Linked DNA regions of Cricetulus griseus. The protein of the gene in region 2 purifies or fractionates together with the protein of the main gene of each other region. This does not show direct contact. Links are inferred from orthologs where the notes say so. Each region holds a gene or a part of one and is shown on either strand. Other genes may lie near its edges. The genes, in order: Fbxw7 and Sox9.

Region 1 (3,813 bases), on a different chromosome or scaffold from region 2:
GAAATATAACAGGTTAGTCAGATTCACCTTTTTATGGCCCCAGTCAATGGCCCTGGGCAACTATGTAGCTTTCTGCAGAGAGTCTCCACGGCTACTTTAAATGGGGATAGAATCACAATTACACGGCCCATCAACTTTTAGTTATCAAGGCAAAGGGGCAGCTTTTGGCCAAATTAATCCTCAGCTAAGGAGTTTATTAAGATCCAAGTTATTCTCCTATGAGATTATCTATTAATTAATGTGGCAAAATTTACAGCCCTGAAGTATCAGGTTTTAAGACAAATATTTGCATTTTAAAGAGAAAATGGATCATAGAAATCGAAGCCATTAAATCAGCTAAATGATTTTGAAATTTATTGTTTTCTTCATGGTAATTTTAAGGTATATATAAACAGCAACTTGACGGTAACTAGCTGAAAAGAAAAATCTTATGAGTCATCACCAGAGCATCTAGGGGTGTGGATGGGTGAGACAGCTTCTTACCTGTAATGAATAGACTCTATTAGTGTGTCCCTGCAACGTGTGTAGACAGGTCTCAGTCTCTGGGTCCCACACCTTCACCATAAAATCATATGCTCCACTAACAACCCTCCTGCCATCATATTGTACACAGCGGACCGCTGCTACATGACCCATCAAGACATGTAAACACTGGCCAGTCTCAATATCCCAAACCCTAAGAGTGGCATCTCGAGAACCGCTAACAACTCTGCAGAGAGGAAACAGAAAACAAGGTATTAGAATTCTGAAGAGCACAAATGCACATAGCCTGCAAAACAGTGTTCGCTTTCTCTTCATAAACAGAACAGAAACACTTTAACAAGAATCACTACCCTAATGCCTTCAGATATAAATTCAAGTTACTCTGCCTGGAATGGGAAGTGAGGAAGACTAGAAGTCCATGACTTAAGGAAACAACCTCACCCTATTCAAGAAGCAAGCAGCTCTCCATACATACAATTTATCTTGATTAGAAGTGAAATGGTAGCATGGTACACGCAGCTCAACCCTCAATGCAGAATTAGGTGGTATTAAACTTAGAACAATCCAGAACTGTTTTTAATATCTTTGTCCTTCCATTACATTTCAATTATGAACTCCTATTACCTATTTGAGAAAGTAAACTTTTCAATATGATTATTTTTCAAAAAAAAAATTTTACATTTAATTTGGGTCTCAGAAAACTAGGGCTGTTTTCTTATACTTCCCATGCAGGGAATGCGGTTTCAGATATGTGCTGATACAGATTTTTAAAGATATTCCTATAGAAGTAACAGAAATTGGCTCAATGTTATAAAATTATACTGTTCTAAAAAGAGGAGTGATACAACCATGCAGTTACCTCTGGATTGCTAACCAGGTACCTTTATGTCACATTCCCAAGAGATAAAAGTCAGTCTCTGTATTTGGAAGAGTGGAATGATTAAGTGTGGGAAAATGAATGCAACCAACATGGAAATGCAAGGTCTCTTGAAACTCATCCCTTAAATTTTAATCACACAACACACTGTGCAAAGTGGTTCAAATTGAAAGTAAAAAGGAGTCCCTGTATATATATCACACCTGCAGGGTACAGCCTACTTACCAAAACAGTTCTTAATAGATAAAGCAGCATGGACAGAGTTACAGGTCATGGCTGCTCTGCTGTGAACTCGTTATAATGATTCTTCTAAGATACATTCTTTTAGAGGAAGGGTCTCCTCTAAAAAGCTGTGACTTCAAGGATTCTCCTGTCTCTATCTTTCCAGTGCAAAGATTAGCAGCATGTTCTCATATCAGGCCAAAAGAATATTTTTTGACAAATGAAGTAGAAAACACAATTTTTTAGCTAGGTGCAATGAAGATGTGTCAACAGAAGGACATGATTGTAGCAGAAGACACTGCAGGTAAGATACAAAGCACCAGGCAGAGGCACCAGGAAAGAATGGACTAGCAGGCCAGACGTGGCTGAAACAATCCTAATACCAGAGCTCTCTGCCAGCTGTGCAAAAGTCAGGACCTGAGATCTCTGCATAGTTCAGATGACAGGTAATGAGAAAATAAGTGAAAGCCCTGGACCTCAGTGTTTGTTCAGATCTAGGGACATGATGGAGTGGGGGCAAAGTGGGTGGGTCACTCAAGGATTCAGGCTAATGTCGAAGTGACTGAATTTGTTGCTCCTACATATGACTGTCAAGAAAGAAAATGATTTTTTTGAAGATGATGAGTCACCAAACGAACAACAAAGGGGATTAGAGAGCTGAGCGTCAAGAAAAATGATTGTACAGTCATTGAATGAAAAAGAAAATTTTAAGACAATCCTCCAATTTTAAGCCAATATAACCTGATTTTACTAACTAAGGAATATTGCACTGTAATCATTAGTATCAACTTTTGGAGCTCATTAGCACTATTTGAATCTCAAATTCACAAGTAACAGACGTGAAAGTCCCCATCATAATGGGATTTCCTTTACCTTTTTTCATGGAGATGCATACAGCGTACAGTGGAAGTGTGCCCATATAAAGTATGTATACACTCTCCAGTCTCAGCATTCCATACTTTGAGAGTCCGGTCAGTGGATCCACTAATGATGATATTGTCTCTCATCTGTGATGACCATACTCCACCTGTGTGTCCCACTAATGTTCTTAGACACTGAAAAAACACTTCAGATGATTAATTTTAGGTAGAAATGAAAGCAAGTCAAAAAATATACTAACATCTCATTAGAATCTGGAATAAAGTCTTACATATTCAACTTTATTAGATCACCAGGAAAGCATCTACACATCGATGCTACATGACACCATTATTACCGAATTGTTTATTTTGTAGCAGTATATGCTTATGCATGCATAGCAAACATGATATGAAACAGACAGGACTGGAGAGATGATGGTTCAGTGGCTAAGAGCGCCAGCTGCTCTTTCAGGGACCTGGGGTTTGAGTCCCAGCACCTAGTGCCTTACAACCACCTATAACTCCAATGCCAGGGAATCTGATGCCCTCTTCTGGTCTCTGAGGGCACCTGGCATGTATGTGGTACACACACACAAACACAAAATAATAAAATGAAGTAAAGAAATTTAAGAAGAATCATTTGATACAAAGCATAAGACATGGCAGAAAGCAAACATAATGTAATACAAGCAAGTTCAACAGCTCTAGCCTGACCACTATGATTAAATAATATTAAAACTGCAAAAGGGTGCCTCCCATGGAGGAGAACCAAGGCAAGAATGCCAAGAGAGTTGGGTGTGGCCACATACCACAGTGCATCCGTCTGCCTTAAGGCAGTAGTTAGGGGCTGGCCATGCTACTCTAGACATGTAAAGACAGACACTGAGACTCTGAGATAAGTCCAAAACTAGTATTATATCCTGGAAACGTGTAGCTGCTCTGAAAATTTTAACATCTGCTTTGGGTATTTATAAGAGTCTTGTCCAAGGAACAACACAGCGAAAGACATTTTTTTTTAAAACATACTGTCTTCTTTTACCTTTTAAATGATTGATTACTTAATTCATAAAAAAAATTCTCCTTTGGACAGATAAAGTCAATATTCACTAGCGACTCATTAAGGAATGCTATGTGAAATAAAGCTACTGCTTGGCTCTTCAACCCAGTATTTAAAACCTCCCCTGCTTCATTTCCTTACCATTCAAGTCTGAGACAACTTTAGATTAACAGGATTTACTTGATTTCTAAATTATAGATAGCTCAGCAACAAAGCAGTCTACAAGGAAAATTACAAATCACTCAGTCATATTTTGGAAGACGTTAGGGAGCCATGATGGGAAAGGTGAGACGGAAGCTCAGAGAAGAGGGGCA
Region 2 (4,464 bases):
CAGGGTCTGGTGAGCTGTGTGTAGACCGGTTGTTCCCAGTGCTGCGGGCTGTGGGTTTGCGGGATGGAAGGGACTCCCGAGGTGTCAGCGATGGGGGTGTACATGGGGCGCTGCGCGGGGTTCATGTAGGTGAATGTGGAGTAGAGCCCCGAGCCCTGGCCGGCCGCGTGGCTGTAGTAGGAGCCGGAGTTCTGGTGGTCTGTGTAGTCGTACTGCGAGCGCGTGATGGGCGGGTAGGAGGGGCTGTAGTGCGGAAGGTTGAAGGGACTGTAGGCGATCTGCTGCGGGGAGGGCTGCTGCTGCTCGCTGTAGTGGCTGGGGCTCAGCTGCTCCGTCTTGATGTGTGTTCTCTGGGACTGGCCCGGCTCGCTGCTCAGTGTAGTGAGCGTGTGTGCCTGCTGCTGCTGCGGGGGTGCCTGCTGCTGCTGCGGGGGTGCCTGCTGCTGCTGCGGAGGCGCCTGCGGGGCTTGCGAGGCCTGCGGGGGCTGCTGCGGGGGAGGGGGCGGCGCCTGCTGCTTTGACAGCCACACGTGGCCCGCGGTCGCAGGGGTGGCGGCGGTGCTGCTTATGCCGTAGCTGCCGGTGTAGGTGACCTGGCCGTGGGTGGCCGGCACCCCTGGGTGGCCGTTGGGCGGCAAGTATTGGTCAAACTCAGTGACGTCAAAGGTCTCGATGTTGGAGATGACGTCGCTGCTCAGCTCACCGATGTCCACGTCGCGGAAGTCAATGGGGGGCTGTCTGCCCCCCTCTGCCAGAGGGCGCCCCTCTCGCTTCAGGTCAACTTTGCCAGCTTGCACGTCGGTTTTGGGAGTGGTGGGTGGGGTCGGTGGACCCTGAGATTGCCCTGCAGGCAATAAAAGGGAAGAAAGACAAACCGTAAAAAATCAACAAGGGCTGTGCAAAACCTCTGGTCTTAGGAGTCCCCCGGGGAATCTCCCTGGTTGCTAAGGTGTCATTAGGACCCGAGCCGGAGCAGAAGGCGGGCTGTACTAACGATAAGTCGCCGAATGATTAACCCGCAGGTACACACTAGGCAAGCTCCTTTTATCAGCGGAGTGGTCTGAGGTCCCAAGGGTCCGGAAGGCTAAATTGCTACCTGTTGAAGAGTGTGTGCTTTGGGGGTGAGCCGCAAAGAGAAAAGTGGGCAAGTTTCGTGAAGTCATTAATACATGTTACCTTGCAATAAAGAATCCAGTTCAGGAATCACAGGTTGAGGGGCGTGTGTGGTGTGTGTGTGTGTGTGTGTGGTGCGCCCGTCTATTTCGGTGGGTCCTGGACAGAGAGGGAGTGCAGGGAATGCTGTTTCCCCACCCCAGGGACCTCAAAGTCCCCACCCAGATCCTGGGGAATGGGGGAGGGGGTGTTAAGGGTGTGCCCGGTGGGGCCCAGAGTGGCTAGGCCTAGTAGATCTCTTGCCCTTTACTTACCGGAGTGCTCTCCCGGGGAGTGCACCTCGCTCATCCCGGAGGAGGAGTGCGGGGAGTCGGCTTGCAGCGCCTTGAAGATGGCGTTAGGAGAGATGTGAGTCTGTTCCGTGGCCTCCTCGGCTTCTGCCTGCCCGTTCTTCACGGACTTTCTCCGCCGTGGCTGGTACTTGTAATCCGGGTGGTCTTTCTTGTGCTGTACGCGCAGCCGCTCTGCCTCTTCCACGAAGGGTCTCTTCTCGCTCTCGTTCAGCAGTCTGGGAAGAGGGGCGGAAGAAAAGAGGGAGAGGGGGATCAGTGAAACCCCAGGAGCGGTCATGTCCCCACCCCTCCTTCGCGCACTTCCCCTCCTCCCTCTATTCTGCTTGCCATCCTCCACCGAGGCTCAGAACTTTCCTTTCTTTCTTCTAAGTGCTTGGAGTCGACCTGAACGGTCACTCTTCGCCCCGCCCCCTCCCCTGGCCTCCTATTTTGGAAACCCTGAAGATGAAAACAGCTCCCTGCCGAGGCGCTCTAAACGCCTTTGCTACCGGAGCGGTCCACCCCCTCCCAACACCCTGTAAAACCTTTCTGAAAACCCACTTACAACGCAAGAAGCTCACTGAGTCCGTCCACGCCCCTACCGATTCTCAGTAGCTTTTCCCTAATTCCTGCCTGGGTCACCTCCAGCCCAACTTTCCCTTTATCCCTTCTTCCCAGGAGAGAGCAGCTTGGTGTGTGTGTGTGTTTCCTCAAATTGTTCCTTTCGAGGGGACCAGGTTGGCACACCCCTCCACTCCCCCCATTGGTTCTTAAAAGCAATCACATTGGTGCGGCTCAACTCCCCCCCCCCCCCCCCCCGCGCGCCTTGGCCAAGAGCAATCCCCAGAACTTTCTCAAACTCTGAGCCAACCTCCCCTATCCGCCCCAACTGCGCATCCCGACTCCTCAGAGATTACAGGAGGCAACTCCTTGGCTCTGGGAGGCGGGCCGGGTTGGGTGAGTGCAGCCCCCCATCCCAGTAGCCACCGAGCCCACCCGATGATCAAGCGCGCTCACCTCCAGAGTTTGCCCAGGGTCTTGCTGAGCTCCGCATTGTGCAGATGCGGGTACTGGTCTGCCAGTTTCCTGCGCGCAGCCTGAGCCCACACCATAAAGGCGTTCATGGGCCGCTTGACATGTGGCTTGTTCTTGCTGGAGCCGTTGACGCGTACCGGCATGGGCACCAGCGTCCAGTCGTAGCCCTTCAGCACCTGGCTGACTGCCTCGCGGATGCACACGGGAAACTTGTCTTCTTCGCTCTCCTTCTTCAGATCCGGCTCGCCCTTGGGGAACGTATTCTCCTGGGGCCGCGTGTTCTCCGTGTCGGAGCCCGAGCCCGAGGGGCAGGGCGAGCCAGCCGAGTCCTCGGACATGGTGGGGCTGGGAGCGCCGGACAGGCCCTTTTCCTGCTCGTCGGTCATCTTCATGAAGGGGTCCAGGAGATTCATACGCGAGCCCGGGGCAGGGGGCGGGTGGCTGGGAAAGGCGAGAAGCCGCGGCGGCTGGGGCTCCTCTTCCCTCTGCTGCCCGGACGCGGACGCCGAGCGAGCGGCTCCCGGGGAGGTTGGCGCGTCACCGGGAGGCAGCGGTGGGCACTTAGCAGAGGCACTGGCTAGGTGGCCGCTGCTCAGCTGCCCGCTCCAAACCCGGGGAAGGCGAATCGGAGAGGAGGAGAAGGGAGGGAAGACAGAGAACGTAAGCGGGGCCACTTGCACCCGGTCTCTCTTGCAAAGAAAAGTCCCTGGACTGAAATTGGTAAAGTTGTCGTCCCACTGAAGTTTCCAGGCAGTTCCGAGCAGCGCTCACGGCTCTCCGACTCCCAGCCCAGGGTCTCTTTAATAAATACTCCCCCTTCACCTTAGAGACCTCCGACCAATCGCGGCTCCGCAGTCATCAGGGTTGGCAAGTAGCTGATTGGACCGCATTTTGGAGAAGGGGGAGGAGGATTGTGGCTCCGGGTTGGGTGACGAGACACGAGGGGTGGAGAAGGGAGGGGAGCGCAGCCGGGGGGTGGGGGTGGTGGATGGTGGGGTGAGGGGACTTTGGGGGGGGGGCACCGCGGGGCAGGCGGGGGATCCGGGACGTCCGAGTGTGTAAGTTTGCTCTCTACTCTAGGAATGTCACAGTTTTGGAACCGTCTCAGTGTGAATAGGTGTGTGTGTGTGTGTGTGTGTGTGTGTGTGTGTGTGTGTGCACGCGCGCGCGCGTGTCTAGACTAGGACGCCCCCCCCCCAACACACACACCCCACTACTTTTCCAAGCTGTCTCCGCGGTACCCGGGGCTTCGCTGGCGTTTACTGCAGTGGAAACTGCAACAGCCGCGCCTCAACGCGGAGCTCGCTCGCTCGGCTTCTGCGCCCGGAGCCTGCCGCTTCCAAAAGTGCTTAGAAATGGTCTTTTGGAAGCAAATGTTTGGGTGACTCAACGCCCGCTGTTCTTCTGTAATAATCCATATAAATAGATTAACGCGCTCTGGTTCTCCGAGGCTGGTGTGGTGGCTGGAGATTCTGCAGCGCTCTCGCAGTGGGAATCAATGAAAACCAAAGCTGAGTGCCAGCGAAGGCTGGCGGCGACCCGGCAGTCCCTGGTTCTCTTGGCGGGTCCCGTGGGCCACGCCGACCTTGGACTGACAAGTCCTTTTCCCGGCCCCTCCAGCACTCGGACGCCCCTCGGTGTTAGGGTTATTACTTTAGAGTTTTGCTTCTTGCCTCCTGTCTGAGTGAGTCACAAACGTCAGCTTGGTCACCACCGGAGTTTGCAAAACTGCTCCGGCGTTGAGGGTGAAGTTTGCAAAGGTGGCAGCTCGGGCAGCGAGGCCCAGGAGGCCCGTGACTTGGACTGGAAAACTTCAGACAAAACAGGCAGTTTGGCGGAGTCCTGCGACTCTCTCATTTGGGCCTTCCTTTATCTGGGAGGGCACAGCGCTAGGCGTCTGGACTTTAGTCGTGTCCCTTTAGACCTGAGCGCAGGTGGGCGTTCTGGAGGAGGCCACGTAGGTGTCCATTGTACTTTAAGAGTG

What was found.
Region 1: the proteins of Sox9 (region 2) and Fbxw7 purify together in Homo sapiens (affinity purification with western blotting; 4 studies listed by BioGRID and IntAct, with this or other methods). This does not show direct contact. The link is inferred for Cricetulus griseus from reciprocal best matches to the Homo sapiens genes SOX9 and FBXW7.

Annotation. Positions count from the first base shown.
Region 1 is NW_023276806.1:69,439,418-69,443,230, forward strand, and holds part of Fbxw7 (F-box/WD repeat-containing protein 7), read right to left. Parts: intron 2,638-3,813; coding exon 2,456-2,637; intron 710-2,455; coding exon 484-709; intron 1-483. UniProt on the Homo sapiens protein: Substrate recognition component of a SCF (SKP1-CUL1-F-box protein) E3 ubiquitin-protein ligase complex which mediates the ubiquitination and subsequent proteasomal degradation of target proteins.
Region 2 is NC_048600.1:125,500,807-125,505,270, reverse strand, and holds the start of Sox9 (transcription factor SOX-9), read right to left. Parts: upstream 2,894-4,464; coding exon 2,463-2,893; intron 1,682-2,462; coding exon 1,428-1,681; intron 845-1,427; coding exon 1-844. UniProt on the Homo sapiens protein: Transcription factor that plays a key role in chondrocytes differentiation and skeletal development.